Sus scrofa: one gene and its partner. The protein of the gene in region 1 binds, or shares a complex with, the protein of each later gene. Links are inferred from orthologs where the notes say so. Each region holds a gene or a part of one and is shown on either strand. Other genes may lie near its edges.

What was found.
Region 2: the proteins of ERCC6L (region 1) and BEND3 are in contact, whole or in part, in a crystal structure (PDB 5JNO), measured with the Homo sapiens proteins. The link is inferred for Sus scrofa from reciprocal best matches to the Homo sapiens genes ERCC6L and BEND3. Residues at the interface, in NP_060139.2 of Homo sapiens: Ala10, Glu11, Ala12, Leu13, Ser14, Pro15, Glu16, Ala18, Ala19, Tyr21, Leu22, Arg23, Lys26, Phe51, Pro52, Asn53, Glu54, Lys55; in NP_001073919.1 of Homo sapiens: Glu252, Gln255, Ile256, Gln259, Leu261, Asp265, Arg269, Val272, Gln273, Pro276, Phe279, Ser280, Phe335, Arg338, Phe339, Gln342, Glu346.

Annotation. Positions count from the first base shown.
Region 1 is NC_010461.5:58,085,350-58,092,881, reverse strand, and holds the end of ERCC6L (DNA excision repair protein ERCC-6-like), read left to right. Parts: intron 1-1,648; coding exon 1,649-5,324; 3' UTR 5,325-5,666; downstream 5,667-7,532. UniProt on the Homo sapiens protein: DNA helicase that acts as a tension sensor that associates with catenated DNA which is stretched under tension until it is resolved during anaphase. Functions as ATP-dependent DNA translocase. Can promote Holliday junction branch migration (in vitro).
Region 2 is NC_010443.5:73,184,835-73,192,366, forward strand, and holds part of BEND3 (BEN domain-containing protein 3), read right to left. Parts: intron 5,777-7,532; coding exon 3,530-5,776; 3' UTR 1-3,529. UniProt on the Homo sapiens protein: Transcriptional repressor which associates with the NoRC (nucleolar remodeling complex) complex and plays a key role in repressing rDNA transcription.

The DNA of each region.
Region 1 (7,532 bases):
CAAACCTGTAGCCTCATGGATACTGGTCGGATTCACTTCTGCTGCACCACAACAGGAGCTCCCCATATGATAGTTCTATATTTAGTTTTCTAAGGTACTTCCATGTGCTTTTCCATAGTGGTTGTACCAATTTACGTTTCCACCAACGGTGTAGGTGGGTTCCTTTTTCTTCACACTCTCTCCAGCATTTGTTATTTGTAGACTTAACAATGATGGCCATTCTGACAGGTGTGAGGTGTTACCTCATTGTAGTTTTTATTTGCATATCTCTGTTAGTGATGTTGAGCATTTTTTTCACGTGCCTGTTGGCCATCCATATGTCTTCTTTGGAGAAATGTCTATTTAGGTCTTCCTCTGATTTTTCAATTGGGTTGTTTGTTTTGTTGCTTTAGAGTTGTATGTCCTTTTTCCCTTTTAAACAAACTTTTAAGAGTAATTTTAGATTTACAGGACTATTTCAAAGTTAGTACAGAGAGTTTCCATTTACCCTACACTAAGTTTCCCCCATTGCTAAGTATGGTACATTAATTACAGTTACTTAATGCTGCTGATACATTATTATTAACTGATACATTGTTATTAACTAAACCAATGCTGATACATTATTATTAACTAAATCCAGCCCAGAGATGATGGTGATTTGGACCACAGTAGTGGTAGAGATGGGAGAGAAAGACACAGGTTATATTTGCGAAATAAAGTTAGTAGGACTTGGGGACCATTGGCAAAGGGATGGGGTGGTAAAAAGAGGAAGAAGTCAAAGATGACTCATATTTGGTTTGGAGTCATAGATGATCTTTAGACTTCTAGCTCGTATGGCTAATGGCTAAGTGAATGGTAGTGTCATTTATTACCATACAAATGGAAAAGCATGTCTTAAGGGGGGAAATAATAAGTTTAATTTGTGATTAATTGGATTTGGAGGCGCCTATGAAACTTTCAAGTGGAGATGTCCAGAGGCAGTTGGAATGTGGGTCTAGATTAGAGCTTGAGGGCAAGCGCCGGATTGGAAAAAATGCTTTGGAAGCTCTGGGAGAGGATGAGGAAAGAGTAAAAGGAGTGAGAAGAGGGCCCAGGACTGAGCCCTCGGGGAGGAAGAATAGGAACCTAAGCAAGAGAGAGAAGAAATGGCCAGTGATGGGAGAGGAAACCAGGAGGAATCTATAGGAATCTGGTGGGAGAAGGGAATTATAAGGAGAGAGTGATCAATAGTGTGAAATGTATCACAGAGGTCCAGAAAAATAAGTTCCAAGAAGTGCCAATGTTATCTTTCTGTTTCTATGCTCCCATGGAATGGGTTGGTTGGTTGGTTTTATAAGAAAAAAAATCACTTTACACTTCTTATGGGTGGCAATTTTTTTTTAATGCTGTGAAATCAATAACCTTTGCACGTACATTTCCTACAACTAGTGCCTGAAGTTTTTGCTGGCAGTGTCTGGTGGATATTTGTGTCTGAAGTGATGCCAGCTTTCGTTGGCATCTTCTGTGCTAATCTTTCCTATTCTGACTTGAGGATATTAAATCTCAACTGTGGTTTGGCTTCCAAAGTGGATCCTTAGACTGAATGTTCAGTCTGTTTCATTTCTTTCTAATCTTCTATCAATATCTTTCTATATATCTTTTTTTTTAACCTTTTCTCTTTAAACAGATATGTGAAAGAGGCCAAAGAAGCAACTAAGAATGGAGATTTGGAAGAAGCACTTAAACTTTTCAATTTGGCAAAGGACATTTTTCCCAATGAAAAGGTGATGAGCAGAATCCAAAAAATACAGGAAGCCTTGGAGGAATTGGCAGAACACGGAGAGGATGAATTCACAGATGTGTGCAACTCTGGCCTGCTGCTTTATCGAGAGCTGCACAACCAGCTATTTGAATACCAGAAGGAAGGTGTGGCTTTCCTCTATAGCCTGTACAGGGATGGAAGAAGAGGTGGCATTTTGGCCGATGATATGGGATTAGGAAAGACTGTTCAAATCATCGCTTTCCTTTCTGGTATGTTTGATGCTTCACTTGTGAACCATGTGCTGCTGATCATGCCAACTAGTCTCATCAGCACGTGGCTAAGAGAATTTGTCAAGTGGACTCCAGGAATGAGAGTCAAAACCTTTCATGGTCCTAGCAAGGATGAACGTACCAGAAACCTCAGCCGGATTCAGCAAAGGAACGGCGTCATCATCACCACCTATCAAATGCTAATCAACAACTGGCAGCAACTTTCCAGCTTGAATGGCCGAGAGTTTGTGTGGGACTATGTCATCCTCGATGAAGCACATAAAATAAAAACGTCATCTACCAAGTCAGCAATATGTGCTCGAGCAATCCCTGCTCGTAATCGCATTCTCCTCACAGGAACCCCGATCCAAAATAATTTACAGGAACTGTGGTCCCTGTTTGATTTTGCTTGTCAAGGGTCCCTGCTAGGAACATTGAAAACTTTTAAAATGGAGTATGAAAACCCTATTACTAGAGCAAGAGAGAAGGATGCTACCCCAGGGGAAAAAGCCTTGGGATTTAAAATATCTGAAAACTTAATGGCAATCATAAAACCCTATTTTCTCAGGAGGACTAAAGAAGAGGTACAGAAGAAAAAGTCAAGCAACCCAGAGGTCCGACTTAGTGAAGAGGATCCAGATGCTGATGCCATATGCGAAATGCCTTCCCTTTCCAGGAAAAATGATTTAATTATCTGGATACGCCTTGTGCCACTACAAGAAGAAATATACAGGAAATTTGTGTCTCTAGATCATATCAAGGAGTTGTTAATGGAGACGCGCTCACCTTTGGCAGAGCTAGGTGTCTTAAAGAAGCTGTGTGATCATCCCAGGCTGCTCTCTGCACGGGCGTGTCAGTTGCTGAATCTAGGGGCTGTCAGATTCTCTGTCCAAGATGAAATTGAAGGGGAAGATTCCTCAGGTGTGGACCATATTGATCAAGTAAGTGATGAGACACTGATGGAAGAATCTGGAAAAATGACATTTCTAATGGACCTGCTTAAGAGACTGCGGGATGAAGGGCATCAAACGCTGGTGTTTTCCCAGTCAAGACAAATTCTAAACATCCTTGAACGCCTCTTAAAGAATAGGCACTTTAAGATACTGCGAATCGATGGAACAATCACTCATCTTGTGGAACGAGAAAAAAGAATTAGCTTGTTCCAGCAAAATAAAGACTATTCGGTTTTTCTGCTGACCACTCAAGTAGGTGGTGTGGGCTTAACATTAACTGCGGCAAGTAGAGTTGTCATCTTTGACCCTAGCTGGAATCCTGCAACTGATGCCCAAGCTGTGGATAGAGTTTACCGAATTGGACAAAAAGAAAATGTTGTGGTTTATAGGCTAATCACTTGTGGAACTGTAGAGGAGAAAATATACAGAAGACAGGTTTTCAAGGACTCATTAATAAGACAAACTACTGGGGATAAGAAGAACCCTTTCCGATATTTTAGTAAGCAGGAATTGAGAGAGCTCTTTACAATTGAGGATTTTCAGAACTCAGCAACCCAGCTGCAGCTTCAGTCTTTGCATGCTTCTCAGAGGAGATCTGATAAAAACCTAGATGAACATATTGCCTACCTGCACTCTCTGAGGATAGCTGGAATCTCAGACCATGATTTGATGTATACACGGGATCTGTCTGTTAAAGAAGAGCTTGATGTGATCGAAGACTCTCACTATATTCAACAAAGGGTTCAGAAAGCTCAATTCCTTGTTGAATCTGAGTCTCAAAATACAGAGCTCTTAATGGAAAGACAAAGGACAGCAAGTGAGGGGATCTGGCTGAGAGAACCTGTCTTTCCTTCTCAAACAAAGAAGAAATGTGCTGGATTCAATAAACCACAGCCTCGGCCTTCACCTCTTCTACCCACTCATCACATCCAGGAAGAAGACATCAGTTCCCAAATGGCCAGCATAATTATTGATGATCTGCCTGAAGAGAGTGAGAAACAAGATCTCTTCAGGATAAAGATGAATGATACCAGCCCTCAAAATGGTAGACACCCACGTGACAGTATATTGGATGCTAACTTTGTAGATACTTTACCCAGTGGGGGTGGAAAGGTAGAAGAAATTTGGACTGACTCTTTATCAGGGATGGCTCTACAGAAAGAGGCACTGCAAGAGGGGCCTATACAGGAGGTATTACGAGAGAGCCCCCTGGGAAGTTTTAGTTATTTACCCAACAAGTCAGTCAGAGCTGATATTGAGCCAAATCTAGATCATCTAGAGGATGATGAGATTTTACATCCCTGCAATCCCTGGCCTGTTAATCCCATAACAAAGGAGTCTCAAAATCCAGAATTGAGTGTGTCTGTTATTCAAATAGTGGATGATGGCTTAACAGCAGCCCACAGCACACTGCAGGATGCTCAAGTGAATGAGGTCAAGTTGGAAGAGGAACCTTTAGCATCTTCAGCACAGTACACATGTGATTTCAATCTTTTCTTGGAAGACTCTGCAGACAATGGACCAAATCTTTCCAGTCAGTCAGTGGAGCATGGTGAGAAAGAAAACAGCCTGTGTGGCTCTGCAGCTAATTCTGGAGTAGAGTTTGTGCATAGCAAAGCATGTCTCAGTGTGGATCTTTCTGAGAAAGATGAGGAGCCAGAAGAAGTTGTAGTTAATGTGAAAGTCAGAAGTAAAGCTAGACGGATTGATTCAGATGACGAAGATGCAAATGATACTTTTAAAGATACTTCAAGCACAAACCCATTCAACACATCTCCCTTCCCGTTTTTATCTGTAAAACAGTTTGATGCCTCAACTCCCAAAAATGACATCAGTCCACCTGGAAGTTTCTTTTCACCTAAAATATCTGATAGTATAAATAAGTCTATAAACTCTAGAAGATCTCTGGCTTCTAGGAGATCTCTTATTAATGTGGTTTTAGACCATGTGGAGGATATGGAGGAAAGACTTGACAATAGCAGTGAAGCAAAAGTTGCTGAAGATTTTCTGGAGGAAGGAGCAGAGGAAAGCATCAATGAAGCCCCAGAGTGTACAGAAGAATCTTCTGGAGAAACACTGTCTTCAGAAAATAAGTCCAGTGGGTTAAGTACACCTGGGCCTGGTGGTCTGGCTCCGGAGACCTCTTCTGGTGATCCTGAGCCTTCGTCTGGTGGACAGTTGGTTGACTCTCCCCAGGATGAGGCAGTGGAGTCAGTAAATGACTATGAGACTCTGGTCTTGCGTGGAAAAGAACTGAAAGCATGTGGAAAAATACAGGAGGCCTTAGACTGCTTAGTTAAAGCACTTGACATAAAAAGTTCAGATCCTGAAGTCATGCTCATGACTTTAAGTTTGTATAAGCAACTTAATAAAACTTGAGAATATAACCTGTTTATTGTATTTTAAAGTGAAACTGAGCATGAGGGAATTTGTTTCCATAATTGGATTCTTTAGGAGCCATGAAGCATTCAGGCTTAAGGCTAGAAAACTCAAAAAGTGAGTTTTTGTTTCCGACTTTCTTATAAATTCTGCCTTTACTGCCTGCTCCTGCCTCCCTCCCACCCCCGTACATGTATTCGGATGTTCTGAGCACTAGGTTTATTTTTTATTTTATTCTTATTTTTCTTTTAGGCATGCTCTGTAAGCTTAATAGAACAGTGTTATTTCTAGAGAAGTTTTTGCAAAATTACTCTGGCCATTTTAAATTTTATTCTGAAAATGATCCATTTTGTATATCACAGTTCAGATAATATTAAAGTTAACTCTTCTCAAGTGTTTTTCCTTCACTTTCTTTCACTGAGATGATTGATATTGGCACATGCATCTAGAAATTCCTTTAGGCAGAAATCTGTCATTAGTAGTCCAGATCTAAGACCTGCTTATTAACATGCTATTTTAGGCCCTCGGCTCACTATAGCTGGTGAGCCAAAGGCTGGGATAAGGTACCTGGTGCGGGCCTTTTTTCTTTCTTTCTTTTTCTTTCTTTTTTTTTTTTTTACATTTATTGCTTTGTTTATTGTCTTTTCTAGGGCCGTACCCTCAACATATGGAGGTTCCAGGGATCGAACCCGCAACCTCATGGTTTCTAGTTGGATTTGTTAACCACTGAGCCACAATGGGAACTCCAAGGGCTTCCTTCTTTATCACCGGTGCCCTACCCTGGAGTCCTTTTGCCCAAACATCTGGCCATCCTTCACTCACCACCAGCTGCATGCTGACACATGCTAGCACATCCTATCTTTGGGTTATAGATGGGAAAGGAGTTTGGTTCCACCCTAGAAACACGAAGTACGATACAGCCTTCTGCACACTGTCACTGGAGAATTTATCAATAATCTACTATGTATTAGGTACTCTGCATGGGTTTCTTGTTTAATCTTTACCATAGCCCTTTGAAGTCAAAGGCAGTATTTCCACTTTTTTTTCTTTTTCGGCTGCCCCGCATTCTGGGCCAGGGATCAGATCTGCGTCACAGGCTTGACCTAAGCCACAGCTGTGGCAATGCCGGATCCTTAACCCACTGTGCCAGGCCAGGGATTGAACCTGAGTCCCAGCACTCCCTAGACGCCACTAATCCTGTTGCGCTGCTGTGGGAACTCCAGCATTTCCATTTTTCAGTTGAGTAAAATGGCTTAATGAGGGCATGACCTGCCCAAGATCACACAGTAAGAGGTGGAATGGATTTTTAACTATGTGTTACTTTGTGAAAAGCCATTATAATAACCAAGCTGTTTTTATTCACAGCGCTTCTGACACCAAATGTGGGGGTTTTCCACACCAAGCAGTTCTCCAGTTCTCGACAGACACCAACTGGGTGTCCTACAATTCAATTCAATTCTGATCCTCCCTGGCTTAGGATTGGACTGCACACGGGTTTAAGGGCTCACTCCCATAAGACTGTCCTCACATCAGATGTCACTTGTTTGTATTAGGTCCCCACATTATCCACACTTCTGTCCAGCTTGTGGGCTACGAAATTGAGGGCGCCCATGAGCCCTCTTAAGGTTCAGTAATTTTCTAGACTGGCTCATAGAACTTAGGAAAACTTATTACCAGGGTTTTGTGGGGTTTTTTGTTTGTTTTGTTTTGTTTTGTTTTTATCAAGCCCCTGGCATGTGGAAGTTCCCGGACCAAGAATCAAAACAGTGCTACAGCAGCAGCCCAAGCCACTGCAGTGACAAAGCCAGATCTTTAACCTGCTGTGCCGCAAGAGAACTCCCTTACCAGTTTTTATAAATACAACTCAGGAACAGCCAAATGGAAGATTTGTGTGGGGCAAGGTGTGGGAGGGTGTGTGTGTGTGGTTTCCCTGTGTTCACTGGCTGAAGCTCTCCAAACCCTGTTGTTTTGGATTTTTAAGGGAGGTTTCACTGTAGGCATGATTGTTTAAATCCATCTCCAGCCCCTCTCCCTCTAGAGGCCAGGGGGTGGGGTCAAGAGTTCCAACCCTCTGAGTCTCTCAAAAGACCAGCACCCACCCCCAGTTATTGCATTAACATATAAAAGACTCAATCACTCTGGAGATTCTTTTTTTTTTGGTATTTCTTGGGCCGCTCCCGTGGCACATGGAGGTTCCCAGGCTAGGGG
Region 2 (7,532 bases), on another chromosome or scaffold:
GTCCTGGGTTTTTGTTACATTCAGTTTTCTAAGGACGCGCTCAAATCAATGGTAAAATGCAGACATAATGCGATATTTCATTATCTTTGGTAAAACTATTCTCATTATTTTGTCTCCTCACAGTATGAACTCTGATATCCACTTTGTGCAGGGTCTGCTATCACTAGGATGTCAGAACAACATTAAGGCTGGATCTACTCGAGGCAACATCTCCAAACGGCAGTAAGAGCCCCATGGGCTCCCCGCCCCCACATCGTATCATCTATCTACACAGCGAGGCAGGGTAAGAGCTCAGTGACCTCCAGTAAGGGCTCTCGAGACCCTCCTCCATCAGGCAAGAAGCAAACATTTGTGGGGAAAGATGGAAACTGAGGCCATCTCCGCAAGCACCTGAGTGGCCACGCTGAGGTGTGGTCAGACCAGTGACTCAGCATTAAAACAGTTAATCCATTCACCCCTAAGTAGATCCCATTGGCGGGTTGATGACAGCTGCTGACGCGGTGCCCCTCCCTCCAAACCTAAGCAGAAAGGAAGGTTCGGGGCCAGCGCTGAAGGGGGAGGGGCACACTAACACCCACGACACTGGACACAACTTTACTCCCTGTCAAACGTGTGTGGTCATGTAGACACAGCCAAAGTGAACTGAAGCAGGATTAGAACACTTAGTACATTCATGACTATCTTCATACATTCTTTTAAATCTTACTAACAGAGGGACACTACCACCTATTGTGACTTGCTATTTTTTACTTAACATCAGAATGTGTCTGTGCTACTTCTTTAGTCCTCTGGATATGAGCGGGGAAGGATCCCAATAAACAAACAAGTAAAAATCAAAGACTTTAGATGAAGGAGAAGAGTAATTAGGAGAAGGGGTTTTGCCAACAGATTTTATGGAACACAAATTTTGGGAAAAAAATAGCATTTTAATACTTCTATTGCTTTGTGTAAAAACAAAAACAAAAACAAAAACAAAAACACTGCTCCTGGAGCCCACCTGTATGGCTCGAGCACCGAGGACACCACACAGACAGACCCCGGACCAGAAGGCGGTTCCTGATGAGTCAGTCGAGAGAGAAAAGAAACAGCTCACAGAGAGCATCCACCTCTCTTCACTGAAAGGGACTCTAGGATTTGGGCGGAGGGAGAAAGCCCTACAAGGGAAAGGTATTCAGGAAAACACCAAAATGCAGTTTCCAAAAAGTGAACACGCTCTAGGTTATAAACACATTCCGTTCCTAGAACCTGCTGATGTCTCACTGTGGGTAGATAGGATGCTCTTTGAAAAAAAAACTATTAAATGATTGTGCTTCTGAAGTTGCAGGGTCACATTCCACCCTCTAGAAAGCAGGGCGGTTTTCACATGGCTTGGAATCCTCTTGGATACATCCTAGAGACCAGAAGAAATTCCACGGGCACCCTCCCACCCACAGGGCCGGGGAGCGAGAGCGCCAACGCCATCTTTGGGTCGGCCCTGCGCGCATGCGCGAGCGGCCATGCAGGTGTGTGCTGGAGCGACTAAGGCATAGAGAAAGGCCCGGGTGAGGGGAAGCGAGTCTCCGGCTGCTCCAGTTCTCCTCCTTTCCAGGCACAAAGAGGTTGAACTTGTTCTTCATGTCGGTCCCCTTCATCTCACTTCAGTTTTCTACTAAGAAATGTGTGTGTGCATGTGTGGGTGGGTAGGAGAGGGTCACGATGAAGTCCCTGTGCATTTCTGAACTGCAATAATTTAGGTCCGAAGTTTCAAAAGATATAATCTGTAAATACCATGACAAAGCAAATTTACTAAAGTTAGATCAGCAACTTTACATTGCTCAAAATCCTGTCATGTTAAAAAACAAAAAATGCCCATTGGGTGCAGGCAAAATTCCATCATACAGCCACTGGAACTGAAGCCCTCATCTGTATAAAGAAAATTCACAGATTGTTTCCATTATTTCTGCATTTTAAGGTAGCAAAATATTAGGCCATCAAGGTTATTAAATCTGTAATATTTCACAAGGGTTTTAGATCTACCCTGTCTGAATCAATTCATTTTCTAGCTTTCTGGTGGGATGTGTATTCAGTTTGGGTAGACTGTTTCCTTTCCCTCTTAGGCACAATATCAGGGAGGTAAAAAGTATTGTTTTCCTATTAAGGACTTTCTTTACCTGTTGGGGAGTTTCCTGGTTGGAATCCCAGAGAACATGCCGCTGGCCTGGATCAGTGTGACCTTCCCAGAGGGGAGAGAAGAGGTGTCTTACCCCGAGGCCAAAGGACTGGCCAGATGTAGGACAGCAGGGTCTTCTACGGGATGCAAGGGGAAAGCTCTGAGTGGACCCTGGGAAGGGACACGGGCGCCCCATTTGAGATGGCCTGTGTCCTGCCAATAGCAGGTATCCCCAAGAGGGCCCAAGGCCTGGGCCTGCCCTGAGGAACGAGGATGTGTACTGACTGGAGGAGCTGACACTGACGTGTGGTGCGTCACCATCCAGCTCCCAGAACCCGGGTTTTGTACAATTACACACATGGAAAGTAAACAGTTCTTGGTGAGCCCCAAGGGACCCATCCTTAAATCAAACAAGAAGCCAAATATCCACACACACTCTCTTCCAAGGAAATGTGTCTGCCCCTCCAACCAGCAACCTCGTTTAGAGAGGAAAGGGGGCAGTAGAAGGACACAGTTCAAATGAAGACATTGTGAACGTGTTACCACGTCTATCTACATTCATATCATCATCATCATCATCCAGTGTTCTCGGCTACAGAGTGAGCACAACATTCTACCGGCGCAGCAATGTGGGACAGGCCAGGCCACCCCCTGAGCCCCTTCCTCGGCACTACAGTAGGAGGGAGAGCAGGACTGACCATGGACAAAAGGACATCAAGCTATTTCATCCCCTCTACTGCCATCTGAGAGGCATCTTGACTCTTCCAAAATCTGATGAAAAAGACAAGGTCAGTAACATCCATTTCTATGCAACCTGAAGCTATTATTAGCCATCATGCATGAACATGGCACTTCTAAAAATTTCATTATCTGAAACCATCTTAAAAAAAAAATCCCAGCAACTTAAGTCATCTTACAGTACTTCATTTCAAATATTTAAAAGATTTTTTTTCTAAGCAAAATGGCTTCCATAGAGCCCACTGATTTTCTTAAAAACGGTTTCCTTTTTAATTAAAAAAAATTGATAAAAATGGAAGATGTAAAATGTGGGAAGCAGAACAAGAGTGTTGCTCAATTTGCATTTCAAATTGTGAGGGGTTTGGGGCGACACTGCCAAGGAGTGGGAACCCTGACTCTCTGCTCTCAAGGCTCAGCTCTCCCCCCACCCCTCCCAAGACTCCGGCTGGGCCACCAGGAGCACAGGACAAATGTCATAAGTACAAGAGACCAAATGAAAGGCTTCTGTCTTGTAGCTGGCTGAGCGATTACGTGTGCAAATGCAGTAGGCCACTCCCCTCCGACATAAGGTGCGCGCGGCTGTGGACAAGGCTGTGGACCCTCGTGTGCTCCCGCAGAAGGCTCAGTGCCCCGAGGTGTCCATCACTTTTCCACCTTCTTGGCTTTCTTCAGGATGTCGCATTTCTTCCTGTTGGGCCGGCGGCACCGCTCGTCGATGCTCGGGATACATTCGTAGTGCCACACCTCCTCCATCTTCTCCACCGGGTACACGGCCTCCACGTAGTGGCGGATAAGCCTCAGGCGCGTGGGGTCCAGCTGCTTCTTGTTGCAGGCCCCGGAGTGGTTGTACTGCAGCCGCAGGTTCTCGGCGGTGAAGAGTTCGGGGAAGAGCCTGACGAGCAGCCGGGCGGCGAAGTTGCCCACGGAAAGGCTCTGCTGCACGATCTCGCGCACCTCCTTGTCTGACAGCAGGTACGGCGAAGGCACCGGGAAGTCGGGCGAGGGCACCACCAGCTCGTCCAGGGGGATCTTGCAGAAGTCCTTGCTGCTCCTTTCAGGGGGCAGTGGGGGCCCCTCAAATTCCTCCCGGAACCGCTCAGGGTTGATTGCATAGCTGGCCAGGTCCCTGCACTCGGGCCCTGGCACATGGACCTTGCGCTGCTGCTGGTAGGAGCGCCTCTGTTCCGTGTCCCGGCGCCGGCAGCGCTCGTCCAGTTTGCCCACGAACTCCAGCGTCCAGACGCGGTCGTTCTTGGCCCGCGGGTAGAGCAGCTGCACGTAGTGGCGGATGAGCTTGATGCGAGACGGGTCCAGCTGCTTCTTGCCCAGGGAGCCGCTGCAGTTATACTGCTTCCGCAAGTTCTCGTGGGTGAAGAGCTCGGGGAACAGGTGCACCAGCAGGCGTGAGGCGAAGTTGCCAATGGACAGGCTGCTCTCGTAGATGCTGCGTAGCTGCTCTTTGCTGAGCAGGCAGTCGGCGCCCGGCACCTCGAAGTCGGGCTGAGGGATCTCCAGCTTGTCGAAATCGATGGGCACCAGCCAGATCTTCTTGGACCGCCGGCCAGGCCGCTCGCCCTCGAAACTGTCTTCCACCTTGACCACGGAGATGTCATCGGGCAGGCTGGAGGAGTCGTAGCAGTCATCCCGCGCGGCCTCGCCCTCGCTGCCCGCATCTAGCCCCAAGCCCTCGAGCTCATCATTGATGCGCTGGGCGCACTGCTGCAGCCAGGCCTCCTCCTCCTGCATGTCGGGGAAGTAGATCTCTGTGTAGTTGCGGATGATCTGCAGCCTCTGCGGGTCCAGCTCCTGCCTGCCGCCGTCCCCGTAGCAACTGTACTGCTCGCCCAGCTTCCGGTGGTCGAAGAGCTCGGGGAAGAGCCGGTGGAGAAGGAAGACGGCGAACTCCCCCGGCGAAGAGGCTTCATCCAGGAACTCAGTGAGGTCCTGTGTGTCCACCACATGGTCCGAGGCGATGGTGCTGCTCCGGTCCAGGGACAGGGCTTCCTCCTGGTCTTTGTTGTCCAGGAAATGGCCCGAGTCCACCTGGTCAGCCTCAAAGAAGCCGGCGACCTGGCCGCTGGGCTGGCTGTCCTCCATTTCCCGCTGGGCCCAGAAGCGGCTGAAGAAGTCGTTCAGCTGGGGCAGGCACTCCGCCTGCCACACGGCCGTGTCCTTCACCGACGGGTAGTAGACCTCCACGTAGTTGCGGATGAGCTGCAGGTGCAGCGACTCCAGCTTCCGTTTGGCCGCAAAGCCGCAGGCGCTGCAGCCCCGGGAGAAGTCCACGTCGCTGAAGAGCTCGGGGAAGAGCTGCACCAGCAGGCGGCAGGCCAGGTCGCCGCCTGACAGGCTCTGGTCCACGATCTGCTTGAGCTCGGCCGCCGTGAGCTGGTACTCAGGGGGCGGCTGGAATTTGGCCACCATCTCCGTGGGGCTCACCTGCTTCTTGATGCGGCTCACCTCCAGGGACAGCAGGTCCACCTTGCTGTGCAGCTGCGACATGTTGGAGGAGAGCGTGTTGAGCATGTAGAACATCTTCTGGATGAGAAAGTAGATGTTGGGGTCGCCGTCGGTGGCCGCCGCGCCACCGCCACAGTCTCGCTTCTGTGGCTCATTCAGGAGCCGCAGTGGTGAGGGGCTGTTGCTGGGATTCGCCTTCTCAAAGAGCTCGTACGTGTTGAGCACGTCCCCAGGGGGAGGGTTCTTCTTCTCCATGATCTTGTGCGAGATGCCGTACAGAGGCTTCTTGTAGGAGGGCGTGGTCACGTCATTGCCCGGCTCCTCCTCTCCCGGCCACACCGAGCCCGAGTTCCTGCCCCTGCCCGCCTGCTCCCCGTTGCCCTGGCAGGGCGAGCTGTTCTCCCGGTTCCGCATGCCTGCTAGGAGCGCCTGGAAAACAAAAACTGTGTTAGGTGAGTGTTCTGATTTACGACACTAGACACTGGTCTGTGTCCTGCACAGACGGGCCAAGGTCAATCTCAGGAACTTGTGAGAAAGTGCTTCCTGGGCCTGGGGAATCACTCTGCTGGTTCAGGAACACACAACTGATACCAACCTGCATCCCAGCACCAAACCTGCTCTAATTCCTGAGAGGCTCAGGCTGGACCCCAAAGGCTTCCAATTCCTGTGGAACATCAGTGCTGGACTTCCTGCCCACAGGGCCTGGCAGAAGACCAGGAACAGATGCTGGCAAAGCTGGGCAAGAGTCCTGAGAGGTCCAGGAGAGAGACCTCAGGAACAGGAGGAGCTCCTGTGGCAGTTTGGCCATGGGCAGGCCACCTCATGACCCTGACTGCTTTCAGACAGGGAGGATCCCCGCCTAGGGCACCTCCAGAAGGCAGCAGTCTGTTGTCCAGTTTGCAGCCTCTAGGGGAGCACGTGTCTCCACTCTGGACAGCTTCTGAGATGCACAGTGCTGAGCTTGGAAGAAATGGGGTTATGAGAGTGGCAGTCTGCTGCCACTCTACCACTGCCTGAAGTCATGTCTGAACTCAGGCTAGAAAAGGCCCAGAACTCCCCAAAGTTCAGGCGACTGTGGATTCCATAAAATGACAAGGCCTCCTGGTTTCTAAGTCTTGGTCTCCTAGTGGTCCAGTAGCCCATCTCAATCAAAGGAGAGTATTAAACCCCACATACTAAAGTACTCATTGCACGTAAAGTATTCTCGCTTCCCTGATGCATCTAGAAAGGTATTTTATAGGTTCTATCCAGTGTTGCTCAACAGAGGACGGTGAGAGGATTAAGCCCTACCAAAAATGATTTCAGGGATTATCTCAACTCACTCAAGGCTGGCACACTGCAGGTCCACCCCTAATGGACTCCCAAGGCATTAGTCTCCCCTAATCAGACTCCAAGATACTCTTTAAAGACTTCAAAGCTTGAGTCCAAACTCCCTACCAGAAGGCACCTGACCAGACCATTTAGGATCATGGAGTTCTCACTGCTTTCATTAGTGATTTTCCCCACTGCCAGGCCTGGACAGTTTTAGAGGCTTATTTACATCTATATGGACAAGTGATTCTCAACACAAATTGAAAGGCAATTCAGTGGAGCAAGGATAATCTTTTCAACAAATGATGCTGAAAAAACTGGATACATATAGGCAAAGAAAAAAAAAAGGTAAAAAATGAAAGGTTTTTATCCTACATATAACATACAAAAACTAACTATAAGTGGAAGGTTGATGTAAAAATAAATGCTGTCTTAAAACTCTAACACTTCTAGAAGAAAACCTAAGAGCAATCCTTTATGACCTTGTTTTAGGCCAGTATTTCTCAGCTATTCCACCACAAATATGATCCATGAGAGAACAAGCTGATCAATTGGACTTCATCAAAATTGAAAACTTCTTTAGAAGAATGAAAAACAAGCTCAGGCTGGAAGAAAATAGTACCAAATCATTTATCTGATAAAGCACTTGAACCCAGACATAAAGGACACTCAAACTCAGTAACGACATACAACCCATCTAATGGTTTCAACAGCCTCTTCAAAGAGGCTGTATAGGAGTTCCCTTCGTGACTCAGCTATAATGAACCTGACTAGTATCCATGAGGATGCATGTTTGATCCCTGGCCTCACTCAGTGGGTTAAGGATCCAGCATTGCCGTGAGCTGTGGTGTAGATGTGGCTTGGATCTGGTGTT